Caenorhabditis elegans: one gene and its partner. The protein of the gene in region 1 interacts with the protein of each later gene in a pairwise test. Each region holds a gene or a part of one and is shown on either strand. Other genes may lie near its edges. The genes, in order: ftt-2 and sir-2.1.

Evidence for each region.
Region 2: the proteins of ftt-2 (region 1) and sir-2.1 interact in binary tests that used the Caenorhabditis elegans proteins (3 or more experiments, as listed by UniProt).

Annotation. Positions count from the first base shown.
Region 1 is NC_003284.9:11,602,972-11,607,285, forward strand, and holds ftt-2 (14-3-3 domain-containing protein), read right to left. Parts: upstream 2,449-4,314; 5' UTR 2,410-2,448; coding exon 2,359-2,409; intron 2,310-2,358; coding exon 1,937-2,309; intron 1,662-1,936; coding exon of another isoform or gene 1,498-1,661; intron 1,470-1,497; coding exon 1,306-1,469; intron 1,241-1,305; coding exon 1,082-1,240; 3' UTR 737-1,081; downstream 1-736. UniProt on the Caenorhabditis elegans protein: Required for extension of lifespan by sir-2.1. Required to modulate lifespan, in concert with hcf-1, acting redundantly with 14-3-3-like protein par-5. Promotes nuclear export of yap-1.
Region 2 is NC_003282.8:10,362,704-10,367,935, reverse strand, and holds sir-2.1 (NAD-dependent protein deacetylase sir-2.1), read left to right. Parts: upstream 1-1,706; 5' UTR 1,707-1,747; coding exon 1,748-1,801; intron 1,802-1,865; coding exon 1,866-2,015; intron 2,016-2,086; coding exon 2,087-2,215; intron 2,216-2,271; coding exon 2,272-2,556; intron 2,557-3,010; coding exon 3,011-3,892; intron 3,893-3,980; coding exon 3,981-4,175; intron 4,176-4,321; coding exon 4,322-4,450; 3' UTR 4,451-4,618; downstream 4,619-5,232. Other genes in the region: pges-2 (Prostaglandin E synthase 2), read left to right, coding at 146-382, 431-529, 577-729, 779-1,065, 1,109-1,223, 1,272-1,424; ugt-59 (glucuronosyltransferase), read right to left, coding at 4,620-4,845, 5,172-5,232. UniProt on the Caenorhabditis elegans protein: NAD-dependent deacetylase. Involved in metabolism, apoptosis, response to oxidative stress, response to DNA damage, and determination of lifespan.

The DNA of each region.
Region 1 (4,314 bases):
ATTTTTAATATTTAAAACTGCATTCAAAACAACAGGACTTCTTCTTCTTCTTCAAAAAAAACATGACAATTTTCGAAATTGTTTTTGGTATTCTTATGTATTCGGCTTTCAAACTTTTCAACTAAAGCACAAATGTTCATTTAATTGTAAAGTGGTACAAAAGTAGCTCGTTCCCAAAACCCTGCTCTTTCTGCATAGAACTATCTCAATTACCAGTGTACCAATTACCACTCCTTATATTATCGGCTGTAAAAACCCCAATTTTTTGGTTGTTAGCTGGCGCCGCCACCTGGCGTTGCAAATGAAACCTACCCGTCCAAATAAGTAGTTTTCAAGTATGTCACTAACCAAAATTTTGCTATATCTGTAAAGCCAATTTAACTAGAAATAAACCTATGAAAGTGTCATGTACCGGAGATTTAATCCAGGACTCCACCTTTTCTTATTCCTCAATGAATATGAACATTAAATTCTAGTTTTCATCTTTGTTCATATCTATAATAAATGAAATAAATTTTGAATTGAACCTTAGCAAGTGCCTAAGACGTAGTAGTTATCTTGGTTAAGGAAGAACAACCTGCAATAACAAGATGTCGCTAAAAGAAAACGTTCGTTTCAGTTTTCTTTTCTCATTCGAACTTTGTTCAATTGCACTAATTTTTATACATTTGGATGTCAATCGGAATCCTCCCCTCTTAATATTTCTTCGACGTGATTATCTGCGTTAATTTCTCATATTGAAGTTGGTGTTACAACTTTATTATGTGTATTCAAAAGCTTGGGGGTGTTTCGAATGTCGAGATTTGAAAGGGGGAAAAGCCGTAACAAAACGGAACATTGAATTGTATGGGTAGAGACGGGAAGTTTTGATGAGTGGGCTCAGCACAGAAATTTGAATAACTTCTGCATTTGGTTGATGGGAAAAGGGGAGTGATTGATGAATTTATAGAAAAAAATGGAAAGAAAAACGATGGTTTAACTAGTCAATGGTAATAAATAAATCATATGACAAATAGTATTATTTATCATTTTCAAGATCGAGGTGAGGGGTGTGTGGCGGTAACGTGTCGGTGTGAAGGAGTTAGTTGCCTCCCTCTGTCTCGTTGGCATCAGTGTCATCGGTGGCAGCGTCCGAGGTCCAGAGAGTCAAGTTGTCACGGAGAAGCTGCATGATGAGGGTAGAGTCCTTGTATGAGTCCTCGTTGAGGGTGTCGAGCTCAGCGATGGCGTCATCGAAAGCCTGAAAGATTAAAGGTAATCAATAGCTTTGAAGTTACGATGCTATGTCAAAAACTTAACGAGCACCTGCTTGGAAAGCTGGCATGCTCTATCCGGGCTTGCTGCTACTTCATAAAAAAACACCGAATAATTGAGTGCAAGACCAAGGCGAACACAGTTCGTTGGTGACAGATCTTTATTTGCAATTTCAAGTGCCTCCGCGTAAGCCGTTTGTCCAATGTTGGCTACTGCTAAAATAAAATAAAAACATTAACACACCTGCTTGGCAAGCTGGCAAGCCTTGTCCGGGGCGTTCAAGATCTCATAGAAGAAGACAGAGAAGTTGAGAGCAAGTCCCAGGCGGATTGGGTGAGTTGGTTGCATCTTATCCTTGGCAATGTCGAACGCCTCTTGGTAGCTTTGCTGCGACTTCTCGACAACCGCTGCAAAGAAGGAATATTCATTTCTGGTCTTCTTTGAAACGAGTATGACTATGAGAGGCAGAACTCCCTAGAGGAGAACCCCCAATGAGCTGCCCTAGAGTTTATTTTCAAAAACTACGCATCGATGTGGAATTGGGTCGCGCCTGAACTCCCGTTCTCTGTCTTCCCTATGATATCTTTCCACACTTCACACAAGGATGCATAGCTTACGAATGAGGGTTAGAAACGAGTGCACGGTTATGTCCCAATTACAGTCATCATTTTCAATCACTTACAGTTTCTGTCGTCTCCGGAGGCGACCTCAGCGAGGTAACGGTAGTAGTCTCCCTTCATCTTGAGGTAGAAGACCTTGGACTCGGCGGCTCCAGCCTTTGGAATGAGGAACTTGTCGAGCAAGTTGAGAACGTCTTGGCAGATGTCGCGGAGCTCCTTCTCAACCTTCTCACGGTATTCCTTGGCCATTTGTTGCTTCTTCTCAGATCCTTCGGTCTTCTGCTCAATTGAAGAGATGACTCTCCATGAAGAACGACGGGCTCCGACGACGTTCTTGTAGGCAACGGAGAGAAGATTGCGCTCCTCGTTGGAGAGCTCAGCTCCCAGCTCGGTGACCTTCTTCATGGATGCGGCCATGTCGTCGTAACGCTCAGCCTGAAATTAAAGTTTTAGTATTCAAGAACATCCTGAGACATCTACATACCTGCTCGGCAAGCTTGGCGCGGTTCACGAGCTCTTCCTTTCCGTCAGACATAGTTGATTTAGTTGCTTGAAGTGGATGAGTCACTGAAAAACGAGAATATAAAGAGTTTGATACAAAAAGGTCAAATGAGAAAGAGAAGAAAGAGGGCGGTAAACAAATGAAGATTGTTTGAAGAAAGCAAAGAATGGCTCCTTTCCGTATTCTTATATGATATGAAACTGATGGGACATTTTCATCTCTTCTAACACGAGGCGTATGAGCCCTTGTAGAAGTATACACAATGCATCAAGAAGAAACGAGAAGGACGTTGTCGAGCGAGTAATGTTGAACAGAGTGAGCGGCACCCCTCCCAGCCCTCCCTCTCGTTTTCTGTGCGTCTCTCCCTATCTGCCGAAAGGAGCGCGCACCATCATTTTAGGGTCTGTAAAAACCATTCAAACTGCGAATTTCAGAATAAAAATTATATATTCTGAGAGGGGAAAGTCTGTTTCATCAGCTAAAGTGAAGAAAATATAAGTTTTGATATCTGTGTTTAAAAAGAGCCGTTTGGCGCGCTACAAACACACAATTGCGGAGTGATTCGAGGGGGCTGCCAACAGAAAACCGCCGCCTCCTACGACTCATAAAGGGTCTCTTTCGCAATGTGTCAACAAGAGCGCGCACCACATTTCTTCTTTGAAGGAAGTCAACATAATTTCAGATATATTAGATGAAAATTAGATATTCGGGTTCGTCTTTTTCCGGGCTTTTAGTTGACTAGAAACTCGGCCTAAAATCTTGAACTTTGAATATTTTTGTGCAGAAAATAGGACGAAAACATCGGACATGCGGAGGCTTCTAGGGGGCTGCCTTTTGCCCACCCACCAGGCGCTCGGTCGTCATTTGAAGTCGCTCTGTTATTCAAATAGAAAGAGCGCTCACCATAACTCTTTGGGCCATAATTTACCTTCAAATTATCTTGAGTAATGTATGGTCTGAAAATTTGAAAATGTGACTACAGAAGCTTGCCGTTTTCAAAGTTAAATGATGATTCTTGCATGTTCCTGGATGTTTCTGGAAACTTGGAGCAAATTCAAACAATGCGGCAGCGCTTTGGGGGCTACTTTGACGACCGCTGCAGACTTGTTCTAAATCAATGACCAGCGGCGGTGGGCTCGGAGGCTCGGAGCTGATGCGGTTGGCTCTCGCTTCACAACAGCCTAGGATCGAATATGCAGGGCGCGTAAACATGCAGGCAAAACAGGCTGATAATCGTGTTACTTAACTTGAAAGTGCCTGGTATTTGCCTTAAATTACAAAGGAGATTCAGAAAAATAATTAGCATGATAAATTTACAATTCTAAACTACATATAAGGCCAGGTTCTATTCATTCTTTTCATTAATTCATATGTAGAATTTTACAAAAATGTTTATTACAATAGTATCTGTAATTTTTCCTGATGTTTCTGAAACTGTAACTGGTATTTTGTACAAACATCCATATCAATTAGAATTGGTGTCGCGGAACACATCCGACTGTTGTTTGATCTTCATTTTTGTTGTCTTCACTTCCGATTTTCGAGGAAGTACATGTACATCTTCATTCTTCCTATCCCGAAACCTTTCAAACCCCATTCTATCAAAACAGAATTAGGAACAACAGATGCGTGGTGTGGTGCGCAACTATACAGAGACCTTCAACGCAATTTACGTCTTATCTATTCCACATCTTCTTTCACCGTGCAGTGAGGTATACTCTTACTCATCAATGAGAACTGTTGTCTTACGGGAAAGATTCAAAAACCAGTGAACCCACCTTCAATTTGAAAAATACGTTTCTAAATATATTTATTCGCATTTCTCAGACTGCCCCAATTACCAAAATGGGCTTTTCATTTTTGGCCATTTCAGGATTAGCGGCCGACGGAGCAGTGAAGTCGTGGGAACCTATTAGATGTTTGGTCAAGGTTGTGCCC
Region 2 (5,232 bases), on another chromosome or scaffold:
TTCCCCGTAGTGGAAAACGGTTTCTCGCGAGAAAAAGCGCATTTCTTGCGTTTTTTCAGTGAAATTTGTATGAATGTAACCGATCCGTTGTGTTTTTCCGCCCGTTTTCTTTTAATGAACTGAAAATTCATTTTTTAGTTTTCAGATGCGTTTTTTTGGTGTACGGACAGTCCAGATTGCTTCTTTGGCTGGATTCTCGTGGGGAGGATCAAAGCTGGACGATATCCAAACAGCAAAACTCAGAACATGCCCAATTCAAGTTCAGCAACCCGAGAAAGTGCAGAATGATGTCCTCCTCAGTCGAAAAGTTATTAATCACCTGGATAAGTCAAACTTGAAGCTCCGATTGTATCAATACGAGACTTGCCCGTTCTGTTGCAAGGTGCGTTACTCTTGTGTGAAGTATGAAAACTATTAATCAAAAATACAGGTTCGAGCCTTCTTAGATTATCACGGATTCTCCTATGAGGTTGTAGAAGTAAATCCAGTCACTAGATCACAGATCAAGTTTAGCACAACTTATAAAAAAGTAAGTTTTCATTCACATTTCCGGTTGTTTTATCTATTTTCTTTCAGGTTCCAATTCTCAGGAGTGGCGAGACAACTATGACCGAGTCTACTTTGATTATTTCCACATTGGCAACATATCTTCAAAGACCCGATCAGTCACTCGACCAGATAATACAAATGTATCCAGCAGTTGATTCAACAAACGAGAAAGGAAAGCCAGTGGGTTTTTGAATTACTCTGCAATTTTAAAACATCCTTGCTGATTCAGGTTCTCAACTACCCTAACAAATTCTTCGTTATGAAGGGAAAAGTAGACGGGGACGCAAATATGGCTTCTGCCAGAGAAGAGCGGGAATGGAGAGAATGGGTGGACAATTGGTTCATCCATCTTATTTCTCCTAATGTATATCGTAATTGGAATGAGTCTGTCGAGACATTCCGTTGGTTCGAACAAGTTGGCGACTGGCATCGTACTTTTCCAGCCTGGGAGAGAGTTCTAGCGGTATACGTGGGTGCAGCAGCAATGTTTTTACTTTCAAAAACATTGAAGAAAAAGTAAGTTAGTTAGAAGTTTATATCATGATTTCTGATATTAAAGGCACAACATCAATGATGAACGAGAAGAATTGAGAAAGGCTTGTCGTGACTGGATGGCAGCAATTGGACCAAATAGACAGTTTTTAGGAGGAGATGAACCGAATCTAGCTGATCTGGTTGGTTTGATTTTTTGGAGAAGGATTTACAATCTGATATATTTTCAGTCATTATATGGAGCTATGAATTCTTTCTATGGATGCTCAGCGTTCAAAGAAGTTATTTTAGAAGAAAAAATTGCTGAATGGTGGCGAAAAATGGATGCACTTGTCAAAAACCACGATGGAAGAAAAGCATTGGAATCAAGAAGTCAAAAATAAAAGATTGAAATTGTTAATATAGACTAGTCCTTGATTTAGTGCCTTATTGTTTGCTGTGTTTTTGTTATCTTTCTCATCCTATTTGTCTTATTGAATCAATTCAATGTTTTACCAGCTAGGATCTCATTTTAGTTAAAATTCTACATTTTTCCCTCATAATAAACCATGTTTTACTCTGCATTCATGAAGACGGCAGTTTGCGCCATGCAGCGTTTGTTGACGCGCATTTGGTATCTCCCGTTGACGCAGTTGGTTCACTTTTGAATTGATTTTCGTATTCAGTTCTGGTCTACTTTTAATAAAATTAATCATATCGATAAACGATGTCACGTGATAGTGGCAACGATTCAGAAGTTGCGGTCACACACGGGGAAGTGGTGAGTTAATTTATTAGATTTTTTTAAAATTTCCTTACTAACAACCTAACGTAAAATGTTTCAGCAAGAAATAACGGAGGAAAATCCAGAAATCGGTTCTATGCACATTACACAAGAAACAGATATTTCCGATGCACCCGAAACAAACACAGATTCGAGTAGACAAAGAACAGAAAGTACAACCAGTGTCAGTTCAGAGTCTTGGCAAAATAATGTGAGTTTTCGCCAAAAAATGAAGATAAATTCCCAAGGAGATTAAAATGTTTCTAAATTAATATTTTTCAGGACGAAATGATGTCGAATCTTCGTCGTGCTCAAAGACTTCTTGATGATGGTGCCACTCCATTACAAATTATTCAACAAATTTTTCCTGATTTTAATGCATCACGAATTGCAACAATGTCAGAGAACGCGGTACTTAAAAAAAAAATTAAAATTGACAATTTCCTGAAAAAAAAACCAATTTTCAGCATTTCGCCATATTAAGCGATCTTCTAGAACGTGCTCCTGTAAGGCAGAAACTCACAAACTACAACTCACTAGCAGATGCAGTCGAACTATTTAAAACAAAGAAACATATTCTTGTGTTGACTGGCGCTGGAGTGTCAGTATCCTGTGGAATTCCAGATTTTCGAAGTAAAGATGGTATTTATGCACGACTTCGGAGCGAGTTTCCCGATCTTCCTGATCCGACAGCAATGTTCGATATTCGTTACTTCCGAGAAAATCCTGCTCCGTTCTACAATTTTGCGAGAGTAGGTTATTTTTCCTTTTACTGTGTTTAAGCTAATAAGATCAATAAGTTTAGTTTGCCAATTTTTGCTTAAATATACCAAAATTAGCCCGATTTTTTTTCACAATGAGACTTTTCAAAAAATTTTCGAACACTTTATGGCGGGCCAGAATATCGGAAAAAAGGAGCCACATTTTGCTAAAATCTGAAATTGGCGAAATTTTAAATTTTAGCAAAATTTGGCTCTCTCTTTTCGATATTCTCAGCCGCCAGAAAAATTTGTTCGAACTTTTTTGAGAAGTCTCATTATTTATGATATTTGTTTGTTTCGAGACAGTTCTATTTAATTTTAAAAGAAAACCCCACAAACTCTATTCTCCTCTAACGTTCCATTTCTCTAGTAAATCCCAATTGAACTCGCTGCAGCGACGCTGTCTCAAAAATTTCAATATCCAAAAAAAAATTAAATATTTCAGGAAATCTTCCCAGGACAGTTCGTACCATCTGTATCACATCGATTTATCAAAGAGCTTGAAACTTCTGGTCGTCTTCTTCGAAATTACACTCAAAATATCGATACATTAGAGCATCAGACTGGAATTAAAAGAGTTGTGGAATGTCATGGATCCTTTTCGAAATGTACATGTACACGTTGTGGACAAAAATATGATGGGAATGAGATTCGTGAGGAAGTTCTTGCTATGCGTGTTGCCCATTGCAAACGTTGCGAAGGAGTGATCAAACCGAATATTGTATTCTTTGGAGAGGATCTCGGAAGAGAATTTCATCAACATGTTACAGAAGACAAGCATAAAGTAGATCTCATTGTAGTTATTGGATCTTCTCTCAAAGTTCGACCAGTTGCATTAATTCCACATTGTGTTGATAAGAATGTTCCACAAATTCTAATCAACAGAGAATCCCTCCCACATTATAATGCAGATATTGAATTGCTCGGAAATTGTGATGACATCATCAGAGATATCTGTTTCAGTCTTGGAGGCTCCTTCACTGAACTGATTACATCTTATGATTCGATTATGGAACAACAAGGAAAAACGAAATCACAAAAGCCTTCACAAAACAAACGACAGTTGATTTCACAGGAAGACTTTTTGAATATTTGTATGAAAGAGAAAAGAAATGATGATTCGAGTGATGAGCCAACATTGAAGAAACCAAGAATGTCGGTGGCTGACGATTCGATGGATTCCGAGAAGAATAATTTCCAAGAAATACAAAAACATAAGTCAGAAGATGACGATGATACACGGAATTCGGACGATATTCTCAAGAAAATAAAGCATCCAAGGCTGCTGAGCATTACTGAGATGCTCCATGACAATAAGTGTGTCGCGGTGAGTGGTTTTGAAAATTAAAAAGTTAAAAGTTAGAAAATATTTCTAAACAACCCTACCAGTTTACAATTAATAATTTTTTCTTCAGATTTCTGCTCATCAAACCGTCTTTCCTGGAGCCGAATGCTCATTTGATCTAGAAACATTGAAACTGGTTCGTGATGTTCATCACGAGACACATTGCGAAAGTTCGTGTGGTTCGTCTTGCTCATCAAATGCCGATTCAGAAGCAAATCAATTATCTAGAGCACAATCGCTAGATGACTTTGTACTATCTGACGAGGTTAGTTCATCATAAAAACTTTCTTGAGGTGCTCTTAAAAGTGTCAAAGAAAAATTGAAAATGTAAAGCTGCAGAACAGTTTTTGAAATTTTAAACACTACTTCTGCCATTTCCGCGAAAACCTATCTATAAATTATTAATTACAGGATCGAAAAAACACGATACATCTGGACTTGCAACGAGCCGATTCATGTGATGGAGATTTTCAGTATGAACTATCTGAAACGATTGATCCTGAAACATTCTCGCATTTGTGTGAAGAAATGCGTATCTGAATCTCATGTTAAAAAATTTCAATTTTCCTTCTCTTGTGTTCTCAATTTTACACCAAATCCCATTGAAAAACGCGTTTTCATCTGTTATTGTGTGTTTAAACTTTTAAAACTTTAAATTGTTTTTCAATTCTTTGCAAACATCAAAATAAAATTAAAAAATTTCATTCTATTATGTCCATATTGAAAATCCATGTTTTGCGTAGAGTATCATGGCTGGAATAATGAGAAAACCAAGTTTTAAATATGAAAAATCGGGCTCTTTGGGTCGAAGATGTTTTGCAAAAGCTTTTCTTGATGGCTTAGCTGCTTGTCGAATCCTCCATTCAATAAGTTCTTCGTGTGGAATTGGAGTATCAGAAAACATTCGGGAGAATTTTTCGCAATTTTGGGTATATCTGAAACAACATTAGTTGATCGAAGTACATTATTAGCATTAGAATATTTAAAATTGGAATACCGTCAATGTTAATTTAACTTTAAACAAACTTTGTAATACTCAGACTGGTTTAAAAAAAAACCACGCCCATTTCTCCGTGCCGCAATTTGTTTGGTTTTGACTCCTGTTTCCAATTTTTGATAGAATAATGAGATTAGAAAGTTCAAAAATCGCTAAAATCATCAATATTTTTTCAAATTTAATGCATTCATTTCGTTGTAGTTTTGTGGTATCTTGGTATTTGGGACCAGTCTGAGTATTTTAAAGTGAAAGCAAAAATCTTACTTTGGATTGGTCAAAATCGTGTAAATTGCATGGACAACTCTTCGTCGACTCAATCTCATTT